Linked DNA regions of Oryzias latipes. The protein of the gene in region 1 interacts with the protein of each later gene in a pairwise test. Links are inferred from orthologs where the notes say so. Each region holds a gene or a part of one and is shown in the gene's direction. Other genes may lie near its edges. The genes, in order: dmc1, BTB/POZ domain-containing protein KCTD5, psma3 and nif3l1.

What was found.
Region 2: the proteins of dmc1 (region 1) and BTB/POZ domain-containing protein KCTD5 interact in binary tests that used the Homo sapiens proteins (3 or more experiments, as listed by UniProt). The two-hybrid records come from large-scale screens. The link is inferred for Oryzias latipes from reciprocal best matches to the Homo sapiens genes DMC1 and KCTD17.
Region 3: the proteins of dmc1 (region 1) and psma3 interact in binary tests that used the Homo sapiens proteins (3 or more experiments, as listed by UniProt). The two-hybrid records come from large-scale screens. The link is inferred for Oryzias latipes from reciprocal best matches to the Homo sapiens genes DMC1 and PSMA3.
Region 4: the proteins of dmc1 (region 1) and nif3l1 interact in binary tests that used the Homo sapiens proteins (3 or more experiments, as listed by UniProt). The two-hybrid records come from large-scale screens. The link is inferred for Oryzias latipes from reciprocal best matches to the Homo sapiens genes DMC1 and NIF3L1.

The regions. Positions count from the first base shown.
Region 1 is NC_019877.2:2,423,365-2,427,919, forward strand, and holds the end of dmc1 (meiotic recombination protein DMC1/LIM15 homolog), read left to right. Parts: intron 1-530; coding exon 531-583; intron 584-683; coding exon 684-725; intron 726-791; coding exon 792-864; intron 865-960; coding exon 961-1,052; intron 1,053-1,134; coding exon 1,135-1,208; intron 1,209-1,284; coding exon 1,285-1,399; intron 1,400-2,392; coding exon 2,393-2,453; intron 2,454-2,555; coding exon 2,556-2,672; intron 2,673-2,745; coding exon 2,746-2,815; 3' UTR 2,816-3,107; downstream 3,108-4,555. UniProt on the Homo sapiens protein: Participates in meiotic recombination, specifically in homologous strand assimilation, which is required for the resolution of meiotic double-strand breaks.
Region 2 is NC_019877.2:2,302,084-2,307,649, reverse strand, and holds the start of BTB/POZ domain-containing protein KCTD5, read left to right. Parts: upstream 1-2,119; 5' UTR 2,120-2,399; coding exon 2,400-2,738; intron 2,739-5,566. Other genes in the region: phospholipase B-like 1, read left to right, coding at 1,467-1,643. UniProt on the Homo sapiens protein: Substrate-adapter for CUL3-RING ubiquitin ligase complexes which mediates the ubiquitination and subsequent proteasomal degradation of TCHP, a protein involved in ciliogenesis down-regulation.
Region 3 is NC_019880.2:2,485,704-2,491,342, reverse strand, and holds psma3 (proteasome subunit alpha type-3), read left to right. Parts: upstream 1-1,588; 5' UTR 1,589-1,672; coding exon 1,673-1,693; intron 1,694-3,065; coding exon 3,066-3,148; intron 3,149-3,237; coding exon 3,238-3,361; intron 3,362-3,603; coding exon 3,604-3,705; intron 3,706-3,778; coding exon 3,779-3,852; intron 3,853-3,960; coding exon 3,961-4,033; intron 4,034-4,105; coding exon 4,106-4,171; intron 4,172-4,406; coding exon 4,407-4,453; intron 4,454-4,536; coding exon 4,537-4,604; intron 4,605-4,725; coding exon 4,726-4,790; intron 4,791-4,866; coding exon 4,867-4,911; 3' UTR 4,912-5,009; downstream 5,010-5,639. UniProt on the Homo sapiens protein: Component of the 20S core proteasome complex involved in the proteolytic degradation of most intracellular proteins. This complex plays numerous essential roles within the cell by associating with different regulatory particles.
Region 4 is NC_019877.2:7,709,203-7,714,918, forward strand, and holds the start of nif3l1 (NIF3-like protein 1), read left to right. Parts: upstream 1-1,945; 5' UTR 1,946-2,016; coding exon of another isoform or gene 2,017-2,052; intron 2,053-2,900; 5' UTR 2,901-2,911; coding exon 2,912-3,506; intron 3,507-3,602; coding exon 3,603-3,759; intron 3,760-5,064; coding exon 5,065-5,188; intron 5,189-5,277; exon of another isoform or gene 5,278-5,302; coding exon 5,303-5,441; intron 5,442-5,716. UniProt on the Homo sapiens protein: May function as a transcriptional corepressor through its interaction with COPS2, negatively regulating the expression of genes involved in neuronal differentiation.

The DNA.
Region 1 (4,555 bases):
TTCTCATTTCACCCGTTTTTGTGCGTACGCCTGGGTCAGAGCTTGCGTGGAGGACCGCACATTTTCCCGTCAAGTTTGCTTTTTATAAATCTCAACTATTGCGTAGAGAGTGGCGTACGCCTTCTTTTGTGCGTACGCAACGTTTATAAATGAGGCCCCAGGTTTCTAGTATAAGTTTGATATTTTTTAGGATTTTTTTGTTCTCAAATTTCAAAATTTCCCGTTTTCAGGAACCTCCTATGTTTTTATTTTTTATTTTGCCACAGTTGAAAAGAAAAGAAAACCACTCTGAGTGATCATGTGTTGTCGTGTTTTGATCTATTTTTTAGCACAAGTGCTTTTTGTTGGGTTCATTATATCGGGTAAAAATGACCCGGCAAAAAAGGGCTGGTGTAACTTTTTATAGCCAAAGTGTTCTATGGAAAATGAAAAAAAAAACAACAATGTAAAATTGCAAAAAGCAATAAAATAATGCCAAAGTCCCATAAAGCTGATTCTGATTCCCATGATGTGTTATGTTCCCTCTGCAGTAAACTTTTGGGTGGAGGCGTTGAGAGCATGGCTATTACAGAAGCTTTCGGAGGTGAGGAGACCCCCGCCTTTCTGTTTATTAATCCAAAAGTTTCCCAACAGATTATTACATGTTTAATCTATAAAAAATGAATATTGTCTTTGTTTGTCAGAGTTCCGCACAGGAAAAACCCAGCTGTCTCACACGCTTTGTGGTGAGTAAAACAGTTTCAAGCATCTTTTTTTGCACATGACATGAACATTTCTGTTTCTGCGTGAAGTCACTGCACAGCTGCCAGGGGAGAACGGCTACTCCGGAGGAAAAGTCATCTTCATCGACACAGAGAACACGTTGTATCCTTACGGCTAAAGCAACTTTATGCATGAAGTGACGCTGGTCCTGAACTCCTATCTGTGTTTTGGTGATGTTCTTGACCTGCCGTGTTTCAGTCGCCCAGACAGGCTGAGAGACATCGCCGACAGGTTCAACGTGGACCACGGTGCGGTTCTGGACAACGTGCTTTATGCTCGAGCTTATACCAGTGCGCCAGCCACACCATGGAATCAACGCACGTTCTTATGATGCAAATGAACGCTGGTCCCCGTGACGCTGTTTCTCCGCAGGCGAACACCAGATGGAGCTGCTGGACTTTGTAGCCGCCAAGTTTCATGAAGAGGGAGGCGTGTTCAAGCTGCTGGTGAGGAGACCTTCACTCCTGGACCTCCGCCGTGACCCCTGCGATCGGGGCAGAGGCTGACTCTGCTCTCCTTCAGATTATTGACTCCATCATGGCGCTGTTCAGAGTGGACTTCTCTGGCCGGGGGGAGCTGGCCGAGCGGCAGCAGAAACTGGCCCAGATGCTGTCCCGGCTGCAGAAAATCTCTGAGGGTGAGAAGCAGATCTGCGTTTGCTGAAGTGTCTCAGGGGTTAAGAGCACAGAAACGTTTTCAGTTGTTCATGAAGCTCCTTATGGTGAAGAAACGACACGGGGAGGAGCCAAACCTCAAACCGTAAAGGCACGCGAAGAATGAACAGAAATACGGAGCCCTCCAGGTGACCGTGGTTAAAAAGAAAAGAAATTCGGATAAGCGTGCGCACGCAAAGCCGACTACACTGACAAGAATTTGATATTAAGTCACCAAAAGGTTCAGAACTTCCTGGTTTTTGAAACCTATCCGGAAATAAGGCTTCACAAAATGCTCCACATCTTTTATCTTCAAACAAAGGGCCAATAAACAGACAACTTTGGTGGTTTTTCGTATTAATTTATGACTTTTTTGTTTCTTAAATTCACAAGGTTTTTTCTAGTAAAGGTATGAGATTTATTCTTGTAAATTTATAAGAATGTTTTTCGCGTAAATTTGCTAGTTTTTTCTAGTAAATCTATTAGATTTTTTACTCATAAATGTATGAGTTTTTTTCTACTAAATTTACAAGATCTTTTCTTGTAAATTTATATGATTTTCTTCTCTTGTAAATTTATGACTTAAAATCTTGTAATAAAAATTATAATAATTGTAAACTGGCCCTAAAACTCTGTTGTACTAATGAGATAGGGGTCACAGAAATGCAAAGATGGGTTAAAGTCCTGTCCTTTAACCCTTGTGCTATCCTAGGCACTTTAACATTGGGAGTTGGGTCATCTAGACCCACTAGACAGTGCTCTGAACCTTTTTTCTTCAATGATTTGTGATCTTCACTGGTGTCACTGGATTACATGAAATCTTTCCACCTTTATCCACCTTTGTCATGGTAGGGAGAACACATCAATGGAAGGGTGGGGTCATCTAAGATAGCACAAGGGTTAAAATCCTGTAGAAAAGCAAGATGATCAAGAGGAGAAAGTGTTCAGGCAGAGTAAGCAGCTGTTTGTGTTTCTAGAGTACAACGTGGCTGTGTTTGTTACCAACCAGATGACGGCAGATCCTGGAGCAGGGATGACGTAAGGATCACAAAAACCCTCATTCATCAGAAAAGGATGTTTGTTTGTTTTTTCATTTCTGACTCAGAAATGTGCTTTTATGTATCCCCCCCCCTGTTTTAGATTTCAAGCTGATCCCAAGAAGCCCATCGGGGGGCACATCCTGGCCCACGCCTCCACCACCCGCATCAGCCTGAGGAAAGGAAGAGGAGAGATGAGAATCGCTAAAATATTCGACAGGTTGTAAGCCTTTGATATTGATAATCATCACAGCTCCTAAATGAACCGGACTTACTGGACCGTTTGTCTGCAGCCCCGTCATGCCTGAAAACGAGGCGACCTTTGCCATTTCTGCTGGAGGAGTGACTGACGCCAAAGAGTGACGAAAAACGGAGGACAGACGTGTTCACGGCCGCCTGTTGGCTTACAGCTGCGGTATCGTTTCTGTTTAGTATTTATATGACAGCTTGTTGTGTTCCAGATGCACTGAATTCAACAAAAAAAGTAATTTATTGAAGTTCAATTGGGCAGAATGTCTGGTTTATTTCAAAATAAGTCACAAAAGATCGGATTGAAAAGTGAAGTTTTCCTTTCCTTAACTTATGTTACACTGGAAATAGTCATTTCTCCCTGTTTATTGATAGAAATATGAATAAATCATTTCAGCAAAAATCTACTTCTTGTGCAAATGCAATACTTTTCAGAACCAATAGAGTTTAGTAAATTAATTTGGACCTAAGCACAGAATAGGAAAAGAAAGCAAACTCATCACCAGGTTAAGTCTACAACCACAGCTGTAGATTTGTTGACCTTTGACCTCAGGAAGAGGCCGCCATCTGGAATTTTCATAAGAAATCACCTTCTACAAACTCCTTCTATGGATTAGAATCTATTACCTCCTAATTCCCCAAGCATCATTGGGACGCTGGGGCGAAAATAAATGTTGGGGAAAGAAAAGGTTTATAGGTTTTGAATGACGTTACCGTGGCGACCTCGCAAGAATGGCGTTCCTTTCTTGCTCTCACATTTTCTATCAGAATGTTATGAAAATGTAATACACGAATCTCTGCGTCGAGCCGATTTGAAACGATATAACACACGATATGAATGTATCCAAAATGTGGGCGTGGTTAACAAAAAACTTCTGTTGCCAAGGAAACCTAAAAATTTACTTTTGCCGATTCTTCCAAAAATTACACCGGCTTGTTCGTCGCCCCCAGGCGACCAAAAGACAAAATGGTTGCTATGGAGATACAACCAACAGAAAGGCTGCCATTTCGAAAAAAGAATTTGTCACGTCCAGCTCTTACCAGGGTGGCAGAGGCAGAAGGGGAGGCTAAGGGGCATCTAACGGCCAGCGAGGGCGACTCAAAAAGGGGCAAAGAGGGTGGTTCCCCTCTGAACTTATCATAGTTTAAATAAACAGAGCCAGAGTTTTATTGTTTCAAAGCTTTACATTAAAAGAAAGATTGTAAGCTTACAGGGTACGTTTATTACTATTAATGAATATTTTAAAGGGGGCACATAATTGAACCGTTTTTTAATAAATTACTATTTTAAAGTGAACCCGTTGGAGTGCAAAACACACAGAAACGTATGTAATATGAACTTGTATGACTTAAAAACATGTTCAAAACTATCATAAGGATTCAAGGGGTTTTTATTACCATTGTCAGTGAACAAAACAGTTTCAGACTAGGAATTTGCTGCGGTACCAATGCTTAACCCCCTAAGCAAAATAAAAAATAACACAATGGTCAGAACAATAAATAGAGATAAATAGTGCCAACAGAGGATAAAGAAGGTGCAGGTAATAAGTAGAGTAGAATGTATTTATTTCTAGAGCACTTTTCACAGAAAGAATCACAAGGTGCATCTCAAGAAGACAGCATAATAATCAGACCAGAAACAGGTCGTCATTCCCAGTATTAACAAGGCCTGCGAAATGTTTAAAAAAAAGAAATTGTAAAAATGGAAAACAGTAAGTAAATACACGAAGAAATATATGGGTACTAATGAAGGAAAGCTAAATATAACAATTTTTTAGAAGCAATATGCATTTAGGGCCCCTGTATCACGTGGCAAACTCAGACCCGGGGGCCAAATTCGGCCCACAGTGTAAT
Region 2 (5,566 bases), about 120 kb from region 1:
TTTCTTGACAACTTTAGACAATGACAGGACCAAATGACCATAGACACAGTTACCAAGGGATTTTCTGACAACTTTAGACAATGACGGGACCAAATGACCATAGCAACAGTTACCAAGGGCTTTCCTGACAACTTTAGACAATGACAGGACCAAATGACCATAGACACAGTTACCAAGGGATTTTCTGACAACTTTAGACAATGACGGGACCAAATGACCATAGCAACGGTTACCAAGGGCTTTCTTGACAACTTTAGACAATGACAGGACCAAATGACCATAGACACAGTTACCAAGGGATTTTCTGACAACTTTAGACAATGACAGGACCAAATGACCATAGACACAGTTACCAAGGGCTTTCCTGACAACTTTAGAGAATGACAGGACCAAATTACCATAGCAACGGTTACCAAGGGATTTTCTGACAACTTTAGACAATGACAGGACCAAATGACCATAGCAACGGTTACCAAGGGCTTTCCTGACAACTTTAGAGAATGACAGGACCAAATTACCATAGCAACGGTTACCAAGGGATTTTCTGACAACTTTAGACAATGACAGGACCAAATGACCATAGCAACGGTTACCAAGGGCTTTCCTGACAACTTTAGAGAATGACAGGACCAAATGACCATAGCAACAGTTACCAAGGGATTTTCTGACAACTTTAGACAATGACAGGACCAAATGACCATAGCAACGGTTACCAAGGGATTTTCTGACAACTTTAGACAATGACAGGACCAAATGACCATAGCAACGGTTACCAAGGGCTTTCCTGACAACTTTAGACAATGACAGGACCAAATGACCATAGCAACGGTTACCAAGGGCTTTCCTGACGACTTTAAAAAACTACAGGTCCAAACTACCATAGCAACGGTCACCAAGGACCTTCCTGTTGACAGCAGCGGATGATGTAGGGAAACAATAAGATCAGACAATAGCAAAGACCAATGAAACTTTGAAACTCATCTAGGTAGCAGAAGAAGAATTAAAACAGGCAGAAATATCACAGTCGGCACTGTCGGCTTACTGTGGGATTTCCTCCCACAGTCCAAAAGCATGCTTCATAGGTTAATTGGTGATTCTAAAATTGTCCCTGGGTGTGAATGAGATTGTGTGGCCCTGCAACAGACTGGCAACCCATCCAAGGTGTACCCTGCCTTTGCCCAGCAGTAGCTGGGATAGGCTCCAGCAACCCTGTAACCCCAACAGGGATTCAGCAGGTTTGGAAGATGGATGAATGGATGAATGGCCAATGGTGAAGCTGTACTACTAAAGTCTCCATAATTAAGATTTATTTTAATCACAACATTTGTCAAAATTAACAATATTAATTTGTTACAGCAATAAACACACTTCTACCAGCAACCCAAATCTGTGAAGCTTCATGCTCATATCAGCATATTATACACAGATGGATCTGAATGGTTCTTTATTTCTGCCCCACGTTTAAGGTGACGGACTACCAGATGGCTCTCCAACTGGCTGCTGAGGCTATAAACGGCCCCACCACGCAGGGCGGGCTGCGTCCGTTCGCATGGCGGTCCTTCAACCTCACCGCTCACCAGGGTCTCCCGCACACGTACAATTTTTCCTTTGTCGCCATGAGGCCCACACTGATCCAACCCTGAGAACGTAAACACGGCATACATGAAGGCGGAGGGTATTCTAAGAAAAGGATTCAAAGCAGTTTCACTGCATTTGTAAAAGAGAAAATGTAATTACTCCTGATGTAAGGCAGAAAGTTGTTTTATCTTTAGTTTTGTTATGACTTGGCTATTTTAGGCTACTCCTCTGTTTGAAACTCTACTTCCTGAATTGGACAAATTATCCAAAACTTTCCAGTTTTGACTGATGATTTCAGGGAAACGCTGATCATTTGTTTCCTCTATGCAACATTTACTCAGGATTGCAGATGTGGCGTTACAAACAATTTCACATTTATTTAAAACATATTTGATGTATACTCCTAGTCTGTCTTTAAACAAACTAGAAAATTAATATTTTTTGGAGGTTATTTTTTAAAGGGTGATGTTGAGACATTCAAGTATTTTTTTTTCTTCTGTATTTTAAAATGTTTAGACTAGTAAAAATCTGTTCAGTGTCAAATTGGGACTTTGTCTGAAGAAGAAAAAAAAGAATCAACAGAACAAAATCTGATGTCAAACTTTTTTCCCCGCCTGAATTCATTCATGAAATCAGAAATGGATTTGACAATGAATGAGTTTTGCCTCTTATTTTGAAAGGCGCAAACTCTTACTTTGAAAACCTGTTGGGGTTGAAGGCGGAGCCTGCTGGTGGGTTGAAGGAGGGAAAACACGCTCCTCATCAGCGGCGGAACGCACGCGCTCGTCCCTCCTCCCCGTAGGTTCGGCGGTTCGGTATTGATGGCAACGACCGCGAACGAGCAGCGGGAAGCGGCGGACGTGGCGGAACCGCAGCGCGGCTGCCCGCGGCTCAACAGCAACAACAACAATAACAACAACAACAAAGACAGCGAGGCGGGAGGAGAGAGCACGAGCTCCGCCGGCGCCAGCGCCACGGCCGAGTCCGGCGGGGCCGGGACGGCGCCGCACAACAACGGCTCCTCGGCGGGGAGCAACGGGAAGTGGGTCCGGCTGAACGTCGGCGGAACCGTGTTCCTCACGACGCGGCAGACGCTCCTGAAGGAGCAGACCTCCTTCCTGTACCGGCTGTGCCAGCAGCAGGACCTGCACTCGGACACGGTGAGCCAGCGGGAAAACAAACAAACAAACAAAAACCCTACTTCCGTTAGAAACACCTGGGTGACCTTCTGCTTGTCCTGAAGGCCACGCCTCCACTGATTTCTGAAGCCTAATTAGTCAATCACGTGACCAAAATCCCCTTTAAATCCATTGAATTATCCGTCATTTGTGCTTTTTCCTCTAAAAATTTAATAATAGTCCTTAAAGTCACAAAAATATTTGCTTTTATTGATGATATCTGATCAATTGTGATGTATTGAACTGTTGCCTTCAAAGACCGTCCGGTGTTTTGAGCCTCCCGCGGAGCATCACTTGGTGGTGGTGGTGGTGGTGGAGCGGCTGCCATCAGATGCGTGAGCACGTGCTGCCTCTGCAGCAGTGCTGCTCAGTGGGAAGCTGCAAAGCTGCCAGGCTTTGGGATGGAGCAGAGGGGAAGACTAAAGTGTCTGCCTGCAAGCGAACGCACCGCGGGGCCTGAAAACACTTATAAATGATGCAAATGTGTGTTTTTTTTAAAGTCATGTGGGTAACAGAGGGGAAGGTTATTCAAAACAAACAAACGAGTTGGTCTTTCATTTAAAGTGTACAAATCTTATTTTCTTTGGTGTTCTTTTTTTTTAAATATTTTAGACGCAAAAATGCTTTTATTCGTCCGGTGACATGAGAAACTAGTGATCAAATGAAGTCATTTGACCTTCAGTAAATCAATGAAGATCCCAAACCGGCAGCAACAGGACACTCTGGAGGTTCTCATGGGTGTAAAGCTGCTGCTGAGCGGCTGAATAATTAGATTTTCAGCTTGACTGCATCAGAGCGACTACAAGATTAGGTGTAGAATTAGATTTGATCTGTTTTGCCTTCTCAGTCAGTGAATGCATCACGCTGCACCAGGACGCGTTCAGGTTCCATGTGGAACATTTCCCGGAGTTTGTAGGCCGTCTGATGTAAATCATCTGTAGTTCCTGCTGGGGAGAGAAAGAGCAGCAAGCAGTTGACTCCACTGAGCGTGCTCAGTAGGAGGAGACTAACCCGACAAAGCTCGCTCACAGACACGTCCAATATGGCGCCTCGTTGTTGTAATTATCGCCAAACGGATCATTTGCTTGATCCAGTCAGGAAGTTTTATAATCCTTTAAAGCCAATTTTTGTGACATTTTCAGCTGCGATGCATTCAGGCCGTCAAAAAAAGTCGTAAAGTTATGGCAATAAAGTCATAATTTTACAAGAAAGAGCTAGAATCTCCTTTTTTGTGAAACCAGCTCTGAAGTAATCACTTACAATGGGTTCAACGACCTTTTCCTGTTGCTTAGATTTTTCTAAGTACACAGACGTTTGCCTCTGAAAGTTGTTACTTTAGTCTCTTAGATTCTCAACTTATGACTTATGTGATTATAACTTTATTATTGTGAAATATTGACTCTTTTACTCATAATTTTTTTTTTAATGATAATTCAACAATTCAACAAGATTATTCTTGTAAAATTACGACTTTCTTCTAATAATTTTTCAATATTATTTTCGTAAAATTATGACTTTTTCTCATAATTTTACATCTTTATTTGTGTAATTTTGCACGTTTAGTCTCTTAAAATGACAGCTTTATTCCTATGACTCCGTTGTCAAAAGCACAAATCCAGCTGGATGCTTCTGCTTATCTCCCTCCCGGTATTTAAAGTTAAATTAGCTGATGTTGGCGTTAAAACGGCTGGTTTTAAGTCATTTCCTGTGACCACAGTTACGGCGCCGCGGCCCGATGACAGGGATTTGGCCTTTAACCGAGTCACTGAAGCTGCTTCCTCTCCGTGGGACAGAAATATCTAACTTGTGTCGTCCACGACGGACGTCACGGTCAGGATGCGGTCGGTCTTCTTTCAGGGACGTCAGATCAGTCGCAGCAGAATTTCATTTTCCTGCTGAACTAGAGCACCACGGCAGGCCGGTTCTCCTCTGCTGTGCGGTCAGCCGTACGACCCGTTGGAGCCCAAACCTCCAGCCGTGCTCTCCTCTCCCTGGTTTATTTCTGCTGGCGTGTTCTGGAAGAGGCTCTGAACCCTCCAGTGACTGAGGCGGTTGCGTAGCAGCCTGAGTCAGTGTTTAGTGTTTGCGCAGAAAGACAAAGTGGACTAAATATAGAGGCACCAGAAAAAGAGCCGTTTCACGTTAGCATGAGAGCTTCAGCGCCGGTTCCCAAACATTCCTCCCAGTCTTTCCGTTCGGATCGTCCAGCTCGGTTCCACGTTCCTGATGACCCGTTGAAGTAAAGAACATGGTCAAACAAAAGCACGGCTTCACTGCCTGCCAGTGAAAGTGGGAAACTAGAGGGAACATGCTGTCTGTTCTTGCTTCTAGCTAAATGGGTCATATTGCACCATCAGCTGATGAGCAACATTTCTCCTCTAAAAACAGAGAGGCTGCTGGGATTTCCATGACTTAAAGAAAAGAGCAATTCGCTGAAGTTCTGCTAAAAGCTACAAATCTACTACTAAACTCACAAAGTCCTCTGACCGGACTAAACCATCGACTGTCTCTGAGAACCTGATCAAGGGGGGGTGATGGCACCCATTTACGTCCTGCTCCAATCAAAGGGAAATCAATTCAGTCGCCATTTAGGCGCGACACGGACGCCGCCATGTTGGAGCCAGGCGGCGTCAGTACACTGCAAAAAGGGAACCAAAGAACGTTTTTAAAAAAAAAAGACCCTCACGTCGAGATAAAATGACTTATTTTCTGTCTTGCAAGAAAAATAATCTCGAGAATTTTCTTTATCAAAAAAGAAAACTTTGAGGAAACTCGTCTTAGTGACTAGAATTTTGTTTCTTATAAGCGTT
Region 3 (5,639 bases), on another chromosome or scaffold:
TGGCCTTCCTCTTCTCGTTTTTGATTTGTCTTTACTCAGAAAAAAAAGTTTGGGGTCTTTCAGCTGCAGTGTGGATCCGTCCAGTAGACGTGTTCCAGCCTCTGCAGCTCAGAGGTTCTGGAGCTCGGCGTGTTCCCGACTGTGCAGACGAGGTTGTCCTTCCTACAGAGTCTGAGCACACCGAGGGGTTCCGTCTCGCTCCGAGTCCAGGTGGAAAGCATCAAACTGGAAGCTTCTGGGCGGGTTCTGAGGGTTCAACTGGACAGGAAGCTGTCCTGAGGAGAACGTCCGGACTCTGAGGAGGCCGAACATCTTGATGTGTTGGAAATGGCGGCTCGTTCTGTTTCTGCTGCTCCTCCTGGAGTCCGGCCCCCCTCCTCTACCCCCATTATCAAAGTGTAATAATAAAGTCCTTGTATATGTTTTTATGAACTAACAGACGCTCATCATCCGTGTGGCTCGGTTCTTCTGGTCTGACAAGCTTCTTCTTTATCTTCTCGGCGGTGGAGCTTCAGTCTTGTTGCCTTAACGTCAGTCACACTTTGATTTCCTGTAAGAACAGAAAAAAAAATGAATCACATGTTCAGTTCCTGTTTTTTAACAGCACTGTAAATGAATGTTCTTCACTCTGATGTGACCAAAGCTTTCGGATCCAGATGGAGATGTGAGGAATAAACTCACTGGTTGTTTGGTTGAACTTCAGCAGGTCTGTAATCCACACGGCTCTCTCTCTCACGCTCAATAAAGTCTTTATGGACACTTTTCTTACAAGTTCTGTGTGTGAACCTCTTACTGTCTTCTGCCTGATGGGGAGGGGGGTACAGGTACACCTGAAGGTCCTGCGAGGTCTCTGTAGCATAGAAAAATATTCACTGGTGCTTCAGTGTTCACAGGAGCATCTGGTCAAGTTTTATTTTGAAAGGGACCTGCAGAAAACCATGTTCTGTTCAGGGTTTTTTATAACAAAGAGCTGCATGACCTCCAACATACCTGTTGCAGTGACACCCGGACTCTCCTCAGAAGACTGGAATTAGGTTTTAGGTGAATACATTAATGCAGTGCAGTCAAAAATGGTTCAAGTATTGTTTCAGTAAAATATAAGTACATTAAAGGAGTTAAACTGAATAAAGTAAGTATTTTATTGTAAGTATTATAAACAAGTGCAGACGTTTATTTGCATATTTTTCAATCTGAATGTTTTTCAGGGATTTCACTGTCATTTTTAAGGTGTAATTTATTATGAGAAGAAAACAGAATAGAATTTTTAAAGTTAGTTCAAAAACTTGAAAGCTATAAAATGGAAACTACGACAAAAATAAAGTAAACATTATTATTTTAGTTATTTTCACATGTTCTATTTCAAGCAAATAAATAAAAAATATGATGAAGTCAAGAACCCAGAACTTGACAAAAATAACTGGGAGGTACAATACTTTTTACAGCTAAAAGATATTATTTTTCTAATCAGAATTTAATTGTGCTTATTAAAAAAATACAAGTAAAAAAAAAAACAAATTGGGGACTTTACTGTGTTTTTTAAAGGCAAGTTGTGATTAAAAAGCTCTTCGTGGGTAATGTGCTGAAGGAAAGCGTTTTATTGTGAAGGCGACCGGCGGAAGTGATCGAGCGTCACCGGAAACACGGGCTGAAGCTTCTTTAAGTTTGTGTGAAAATGAGTTCCATCGGAACCGGGGTGAGTCTTTTATTGCCTCTTTTAATCCAGTACGTTTGTGATAAAAGTGCTAAATGTTGTGAGTTTGAGTCCATATCGGTTTGAGGGGGGAATAGGCCGGTCACATTACCAGGAGCGTGGGAACACAGCAGCATGAAGCTAGCCTGTTAGCCTGCTGCTGAGTCACAGAGCGGCTGCTAACAGACGAAGTGAAAGTAAAACCTGTGTTTAAAAAAATTTATTGTTTGTTTTAGATACTTGAAATCAGTAAGATTTGAAGACTGTTCGAGAGAATTCTCCGGGATTGTTTGGCCTCTTTATCTTTGCTTGTTTGTTTTTTTCTTCTACGTGGAGTGATGCTAGCAGCTGAGCTAGCTAACAGAACTGGTGAAAATGTGGAAATCAAAATCGCGTTGTTTGGTAGATCTGTCAGTTTGAAGCGATTTGTTTCTGGTCTAATGTTAGGTCAAATTGACTTTTTTTTTTGCTTAGACGAGTCTCTATAATAAAACTACATTTTTTTTAAGCTCCTGTTAGTGTTAAAACATAAAAAAAATCTATCAATCAAGGTTGTCTAAAAGCGCTACACTGGAAGCCTAAAATCAATTATATTGAATTACTTTTGTTATATTTCCATTCTTTTCATATATTATCCTGACTTTTTTTTTAATGGTTCAGTTCAGTCCTGATCATTAAAACAATCCTAAATATATTATAAAATTGCATGTAAAGAGGAACGGATGAATTTTCTGTGTGATTTATGTTTTGAGCTCAAAACTGTGGAGAGGAAAACACCTGAAATAAAAACGATAAGCTGTGGATGTGATGGATGAGAATGGATCCAGTGACCTTGTTTGACCTGCTGAAACCAGGTTCAGTCGCTCGGTCCAACCCAGCACTGATCCCCTCCACCGTGAATGCAGAAAAACTGATGCGGAGTCACTTCTATCACCGGATGAGACCCTAAACTGAATCTAAAAAAGTTGTTGTGGTCAAGATTTTTTTTTTACTCTAGATGTGTAGAAACATGCAGCATATTTACAGAACTAAAAATGTTTTTTTATTTTTAAATTATATATTATATTATTTAAATTAATAATAAATTGATTACTGATGGTCTATAATTGTTTTTAATCGGTACGTCACAACACCTGGTTGGTCAATAATGAAGGCTTTACACTCATTTTTGTAGAATTTCTTTAAAATCAGACATAAAAAAAGTGAATATATATTTTTGTTCTGGTTATATTTGATTTATGGTTTGGTTGATTACAGCAAATCAAGGCTACACGTCCCCCCCTCGAGGTCTGGGTGTTGTCCTGGATTAGTGGACTTCTGTTTGTTCTCCTATTTTGCGTATAATGCTGATGTTGTGTGTTTGTGTGTCTTGCAGTATGACCTGTCTGCCTCCACTTTCTCCCCTGATGGTCGGGTCTTCCAGGTGGAGTACGCCATTAAGGCGGTGGAGAACAGCAGGTCAGTTCCGTCCTCCTTCTCCTTCCACGCCTCTCATCTCAGTTTGTGTGTCTGTGTGTAACCTGTGTGTGTGTTTGTGTAACTTCCAGCACAGCTATCGGGATCCGCTGCAAAGATGGAGTCGTGTTTGGGGTGGAGAAGCTCATTTTGTCCAAACTTTACGAGGAGGGGTCCAACAAACGCATCTTCAACATTGACAGACACGTTGGCATGGTAACAGCTGATTTTTTTTTTTTTTTGTCCCCGGTTTCTCTCAGCTGCGATGGTTTAAAGCGTCACGCCGAATCTGTGGTGTTTTTTTTTCTTCTGCTGCTCCTGTTTTCTCACAACCTCCTTGCAGGCAGAGACCGTTTATTAAACTGTTTTTAAAGTGATGCATTAAAAAATGAATGAAAGATCTTCTGTGAGTGACAGTTTCTGGTGTGCTTGATGGATGTCTGTCTCTCTCTCTCCAGGCGGTAGCAGGCCTGTTAGCTGATGCTCGCTCACTCGCTGAAGTAGCCAGAGAGGAAGCCTCCAACTTCAGGTCGAATTACGGACACGACATTCCTCTGAAGGTTGGTTTTCCTACCGTCAGGTTGTCACGCCTGTTTCCATGGTGATGCTAAGGGTGTGTATGTTTTGTTGCAGCACCTATCTGACAGAGTGGCCATGTATGTGCATGCGTACACGCTGTACAGCGCAGTGAGGCCGTTCGGCTGCAGGTGGGTGTTCTTCAGCACGTTTAAAAAGACCCGTGGTGCGTTCAGGGACAGTGCAGAAGTGTTTGTAGTCTATGATCTCTAACCCCCCCACGTGTTTGCTCCTCTCAGCTTCATCTTGGGTTCGTATGACAAAGACGACGGTCCTCAGCTCTACATGGTCGACCCGTCTGGTATCTCTTACGTGAGTCGGGTGTGTTCGTGTGCGTTCAGGTGACTCCAGGTGAGACCGACTAACCAGCCTCTGTGTCTTCAGGGTTACTGGGGGTGTGCGATCGGGAAAGCAAAGCAAGCTGCCAAGACGGAGATTGAAAAGCTGCAGGTGAGTCTGCAGGAACACCAGCGAGCGTTTTACTGTGAAAGGTTGGTAAAAGCGGGCGACTGCTGAGACCACCAGCAGCTCAGGCCTTCACGAAGGGTTTCTGCTGAGCTCAGACACGATTCATGAATCTGGTTTAGTTCTGACGTTCTGGAGCTGCTGTTTTGTGACTAATATTTCACACGTTGAACTCTGCGAGCAGAGACGTTCTCACATATCCGACCGTTTCCTCCGACAGATGAAGGACATGACGTGTCGAGAGCTGGTCAAAGAAGTCGCTAAAATGTGAGTTTCACTCTGTTCATGAAGAAGCTCTGAACCAAAGAAGGCTGAAAAACTAAAATTTCCCTTTTTTTTTTTTTATAAAGAATCTACATCGTTCACGACGAAGTGAAAGACAAGGCCTTTGAGTTGGAGCTCAGCTGGGTTGGAGAAGGTGAGAAAGAACCTGTGCCGTTTTAGCTGGCCTGACCCAGAGCATGATGGGAAGGGAGCTGTGGGACTAAGCCCGTGGTCGGCACGGCGACGGCTGATTCTCCGCTTCTTGTCCTCCGCAGTCACAAACGGACGACACGAGTTCGTTCCTAAAGACGTCAAGGAGGAAGCAGAGAAATACGCCAAGGTGAGTGTAGAACGCCGTAGCTCCTGTTGGCGCCTGCAGAGGGCGGTGTTGTCAGCTGACTATCTTTCTGCTGCAGGATTCGTTGGAAGAAGAGGACGACTCTGATGAAGACAACATGTGAGCCCAGAGCTGCTGCTGCTGCCTCCGGTCTCCTCTTCGTCTTTTATTGTTCGTCGCTTCCTTTGTTTTCACATTTGGAAATAAAATTCTGGAAATGTTCAGCGGCTGCTTTACTTCTTCTGCCTGGAAAAAAGTTTGAGGTTCTAGAATGAGGCTCCAACAGTCTGTGGTTACAAAGTTTATTAGAAACTGAGAGCTGCTCATTGTGCACACACACACTTCTGTGCGTTTCTCTATTTACAAGTTTTGCTCTCGAATCGCTTCCGGAAAAACACCACAAGGAAAAAAAAAACAACCGAGGAGTTTATAGGACTACAGTACAAACAGTCTTCTCTTAGAAAATATTAGAAATCATTCTGTGCCGGTGTGAAAAATGTAGACGTGTGGTCTCTTCTCAGAGCTTTATTTACAGAACAAACGGCTTGAGGAGCTGAACGTCTGGGAGGCAGAGCAGAAACCAGGGAGGAGGCGGCTTCAGAAGCGGCTGTGGGAGGAGCTTAAGTGCATGAAGATCCAGGTGGATCTTCTCAGACCACCGAGCTGCTGTTCAAATGAAAGGAAAACTGGAGCTGAAACGCCAATCTGACCAATTCAAAGATGGCGTCCTGGAGTTTGACAGTAAATCTGCTTCTCTTGATAAAAAGAACCAAATTTCTGTTTATAAATTGATAAATTCTCAAACTTAAATACATGAGAAATTCTACTTTTAACTTCCTTTGGGGAGTTTAC
Region 4 (5,716 bases), about 5.3 Mb from region 1:
TGAACCAGGTCTTCACATTCAGCCCAAAGTAATCAAGAGAAGTCAAAGCTTGTTCCATAAATTGATAGATTTTACTAAGGATAATGTCCCACTGAAGGGATTTGTAAACCAAAGGACATTAGAGATGCTCCTCTGTAAGCCAAATGTCGACTGAATAAGCTTGTTTTTTGAAGGTCATTTGGAGAAAGGAACGAAAATAGAACAAAGAACTCAAAATACTAAGAAGGAGAATTTTACATAACAGATTTATCCACAAAAAGCTACAGAGCTTTTGATTTAGAGACAATAAAATAAGTAAAATACATCCACAGAAATTGTTAAACTCTTTTACCCTGAGTTTTTTTTTGTTGTTGTTATTTCTATGGTGCCAAATGGATTAAAAGTCAGCGGAAATGAAAGGCCTACTTAGACTTTTGGAGTGCGGACAGGAACACTGTGCACTCTGGACACAGCGCACAGACAGATGTTGTATGGAAAAAGGGGCTCAGACAGCCAGATGGGGCAACAGAGGCTTATAGCGCCAATTAAAAAAAGCCAATATGCTAAACCAAACAACTGAGAACAAAGCAATGTATACGGTAACTCCAAATAACAGCATACTTTTTTGTTTCAAGTGTTTTTTAAGTCTTTGTTTCTGTTCCAAAAACTCAACACCTCAGATTTTTCAATGCTTTTACTGTCCTGACAATGTAAATTGTGTGATTGCTGGAAGAGCAGGACCTTGTTATTCTGATAGATGTCATGCACGGACAGAAAGATGAGGCCAAAGGAAGACTCAGATGATGTAATACACTCTGGCTGGCCTTTGCGCTGATCCTTCCCTGATCCCCCTTCCTAACATCTAGCATCGACCTTTAATGCATTAATCCCCAATATCTCTCTCTTGGTCACTCTCTGACTTAATCCAAAAGAAGCCATTCTGTCCAGAAGCTTGCTGTCGTGCCAAAAATGCATGTTTAACCCCTTCACGACCACCAGCTGCAGACAGATTTCATCTGCGTGTTACTATGTGGTCGGTAATCTTTCTGAGAAAAGGCAAGTGGATCCCTGGGTATCTTCTGGACCACCTGCCCACTCGAATTAATACAGCTTATCAGAGTCATCTAGCCTTTTCCTGTTGACAGTAATCAGTAATTTTGTTTCATAACATTACATTTGAGCTCTATTATGCAACACCAAAAGGATTTATTAGGATGGCTGATTAAACGCACCTTTTAAAGCTAATGCCCTCTTGGTTTCCATTTAACGTCTCTGACATATTGTCAGTAGCTGTTTGTTCAAATAAGCTTTCATTTTTAGAATGCAATGTCCACAGTCAGAGAATTTCAGTCTAAAGAGAATTAAACTGTTTTTATCACTAATAAAGAACTACTCACTGACAGAGTAAGGCAGCTTCTGCACTTTTAGCCTACTGACCAATAGTTTCAACGTTGTGCTTACAGCTCTGTAAATATTTGCAGGTCAAAAAGGTTTTTTTTGGTAACGTATTTGTGAACAAATTTTTTGAACATAAGGACAGGAAAATTAATAAATGCTTAAAGAACTTTATTTTTCCTGTGAAAGGAGCATAGCTTAAAAATGTGGTTAAAAGAATTCAACTTGTTTGGAAAAATTCCAGAAATGATTTTCTGCATGACATTAAAGGAACTATGCTAAAACTGAGGTAACCTTATAAGAGTCAGTTGCCACAAAATTAACCAAAGATTTCACCATATTTATAATCAAATCTTTTAAAAGCGACTTTTCCTTCCGAGAACTTTTTCAAAATTAGACAATGAATCTTAACTAATATCCTAAACAAAATAAATGCTCAAAATTTAAAGTTAAATAAAATAAAATAAAATGTCATAATGTTGGCATTATAATGTATCTTTAAAACATTGTATCGTAATATAATGTGACAGAAGCCACGCCTATTTATTTATGTCCCGTTTTTTGTCGATATACACAACGGAAGCTCGAAAGGGACATTTATAGGGTTGTGCAGAAAGTTCTGACTGACAGTCGCAGAGGTTCATGCTAGCTCACAAAGTTTCTGATATCTTCCTGAACGTATGACAAGATCGTTACATTTGCCAATGCTCTGAAACGGCTTTTACCTCATCATAGCAACACTGAATTTTGATAAAATGGGTGATTTTCTATCAACATTTACAAGACACTAGTAGCGCAGCTAATCTGCTAGCTTAGCTAGGGGTAGGTAGTTGTGCTTAGCCGCATGTGTGTCACTCATTGTTGTGCTTGTGTTGGTCATATAAAAATCGTGTGCAGGTAGTAGATCTTTTTATTTAAACATACGTGTGTGTATATTATGTTTCTATCAAAATCATTAATTATTATTTGATGGATTAGATGGATTAGAATAATTATCCAAATTTGCTTTTACTTAAATTCAGCAAAATTGGTGGATCAGACCTAGTTTTATAATCTTCCACGACTTTACGTGGTGAAGTAGTCCAAAATCTCCAATGAAATATCTTAAAAAATTAATATTGTGGTCAGGAAAAAAAACTGGAAATAAAGTCACATTAAGTTTTTCTTCAGAGGGTAAATATGGCCTTTAAAAAAGTCTTATATGCAGACTTAAATTTTTGGAGCAAAGTATATATGCATAAAAACGAATGAAAGTTTGCTCGGCTCGACCGAGCAAAAAAAGCTGTTGCTTTTAGGAATAAATAAGTATATTACAGCCTCTTCTTTGAAGGCATTTAAGGGCTATTATAGGTGATATTATAATAACTAAATACATGAAACCTGAAGATATTTGAGAAAAATGTATTTAAAGTTAGCAGTGATTGTTCGTTTTTGTAATTGGGGAACTTGAATTTTAATGATATGTTTTCGAAAGGGAAAAAATAGCACCCAGTGCCCACTTTTGTGTTCTTTTTTGTTTTATGCAGATGGTCCACTCATGTTGACTGGATGCAGGAATCTCTTTCTGATCTTTGCATCACTTGTACATAGAAGAACTTGGATGTGTAAAAGGTTCAAGCCTAAAAGTGAACTCCACTTCTCTGCCTCAGCAGCATCATTTTCTCTTCCCTCTGTCTCCTCGTCTCCTCAACAGCGAATCATCAACAGCTCATCCTTTCTGCATCCTCCTTTCTCCTCCGCCTTCCAGCCTCCTCACTGCTCCCACTTTACTGGCCCCATGGAGTTAAAGGAAACTTTGCAGGTTCTGGAGCAGCTCGCTCCTCTGTCTCTTGCTGAGTCATGGGATAACGTCGGCTTGCTGGTCGAGCCTAGCAAACCTCGGCCGGTCAAAACCATCCTGCTGACCAACGACCTCACAGATGCAGTCATGGCGGAAGCAGAGGCTTTGAGCTGTGACCTCATTATTTCCTATCACCCGCCGTTGTTCCGTCCTGTTAAGCGACTGAACCAGAAAGATTGGAAGCAGCGATTGGCCATCCGGGCGGTAGAGGCTGGGATTGCGGTCTTCTCCCCTCACACTTCATGGGACAGTGTTAAAGGAGGGGTAAATGACTGGCTGGTTGCAGGCCTTGGTAAGGAGCTCTTCTGGCAGGAAATTGCATTAGGCTTGCTGTGGCTGCATGTGAACCTGTAATCTGCTTTTTTCTGGGTTGTTCTTTGAATTTCAGGCAGCGGCCAAGTGTCTGTGCTGAGTCAGGCTCTTGGTAACGCCTCCCACTGTCATAAACTCGAGTTCACAGTGAGAAGCACAGAGGAACTAAACACAGTGATGAAGGAGCTTAAGGCCTGTGATGGAGGAACATCCTTAATCTCTACAGGAACCAGGTTGTTTGAGATTTTTGGGGAATATATTCAGAAATGTACGACGGAGTATTAGGGCCACAAAAAAAAAAAAATTAGAGCCACCAAAAAAAAAAAAAAAGTAAAATTACGAGATTTTATCTCGTAAATTTAGGAGATAAAAACTCGTAAATTTACGACTTTTTATCTCATAAATTTACGACTTAAAATCTCATAAATTTACGAGAAAAAAGTCGTAGATTAAGGAAAAAACACCGAAGTTGTCCGTTTATCGGAACCTAGCTTGAAGATGAAGTATGTGGAGCCTTTTGTGAAGCTTCATTTCCGGATTATTATAGGTTTAAAACAAAGAGATTCTGAACCTTTTGGCGACTCAAAATCAGATTAGTTTCCGTGTAGTAGTCTTTCCGGGGTTCAGTGTCAGTAAAGCGGAGTTTCATAGGTAAAATAAGGAGCTCAGAGACACGTTTGGGTGTAGAGGACCGCTGCAGCCTTTATTTTCCTTTCCATTCACATATCCTGAAGTTCATTTGTCTCATTACGTCATGAACCTGTCATCCCAACACCAATGCGGAAGTAAACAGTCTTACAAACGCCCCCTCCTGCAGATGAAATGTCCCGTTTCAGCATAAAACAATAAAGAGGAATGAAAATAGTGTTTTATATTAGCTTTGGAACGTTGAAAATGCCAAAAAAAAAAAGTGCTCCTCCTTTTGTGTGACGGAAGCGTCACACAGACGTAGAGTCTTGTCTTTGGTGGAGGAAGAAAGGATTCAAGCGAACAGCTGCAGGGACACCGACAACGGCTTCGTCGGGCTGCAGAGATCCTGCAAACCAACCATCAATAAATACAACTTTAATGAATCGTTAATCGAACAAATGACTTTCCAGACATTTGGAACGTTATCAATAAACATACAGCTCACCTGTTCAACAAAGTTTAGTCGGTCTTCTCTGCGGCTGCACGGCGTTCACCTGCTGCTCTGCATGTTCACTTCCACTGTAATCTCCTAAAATTACGAATTTTTTTCTCCTAAATTTACGAGTTATTATCTCCTAAATTTACGAGTTTTTATCTCCTAAATTTACGAGATAAAATCTCGTAATTTTACTTTTTTTTTTTTTTTTGGTGGCTCTAATTTTTTTTTTTTGGTGGCCCTAATACTCCGTCGTAGAAATGAGCTATGGCTGTACTAAAAAAAAAAAATTGGTTTGATGGTGGATTCGCTCTGATTATGCCGGGTTGTTTTTATACTAATGTGAAAATAATACTAGCATCATCAGATGTTAATAAGTTGTTTGTCTCGGTTATTACTTCTCTCAAACCAGAGCAGACAGCAGTGGGATCCACGCCAGCGTATTATGCAGCGACTCAGCACTGACTCCCAGCGTTCAAACTCTGCTGCAGCACAGCTGCTCCAGTCAGTCCCTCAGCATCCTGAAGTTAGAGAAGGTACAGCAGAAACACAAAAAAAGACCAAGTCAGTACTTTTTAAGACTCCAATAACAGTGTCCTTTTGTGATGCCCCGGTAACCTGGCAGCTCTGTACCTGCTTCACACTTGCAGCCGCCTCTGCCGGGCCACGGCCAAGGCCGACTCAGCGTTTTGGAGCAGCCAGTGACTGTGGCTGAAGCCGTCCAGAGGATGAAGTCCCACCTGGTGTTGAGTCATCTGCGATTAGCCCTGGGATGGGGGCAAACGTTAGGTAAACAAACATGGATTTAAGGACTCCCAACACTGTTAGCGCAGATTTTTGCACAGCACCAAATACACAAATACACAAAAAACCTTTCCCCATGTTTTTATGTTTATTTTTTTTAAAGAAAAAGATAAATATAGAAATGACAAATAGACCCATAACATGCTATTTAGCTATTGTTTATTAAAGGATTCACAAACACTGGTTTATGTCCTTTGTTTTTTTATTACTGTGATGTATTTTAGCATAAATGTATATAATTTATTCACAGATTTTATCAC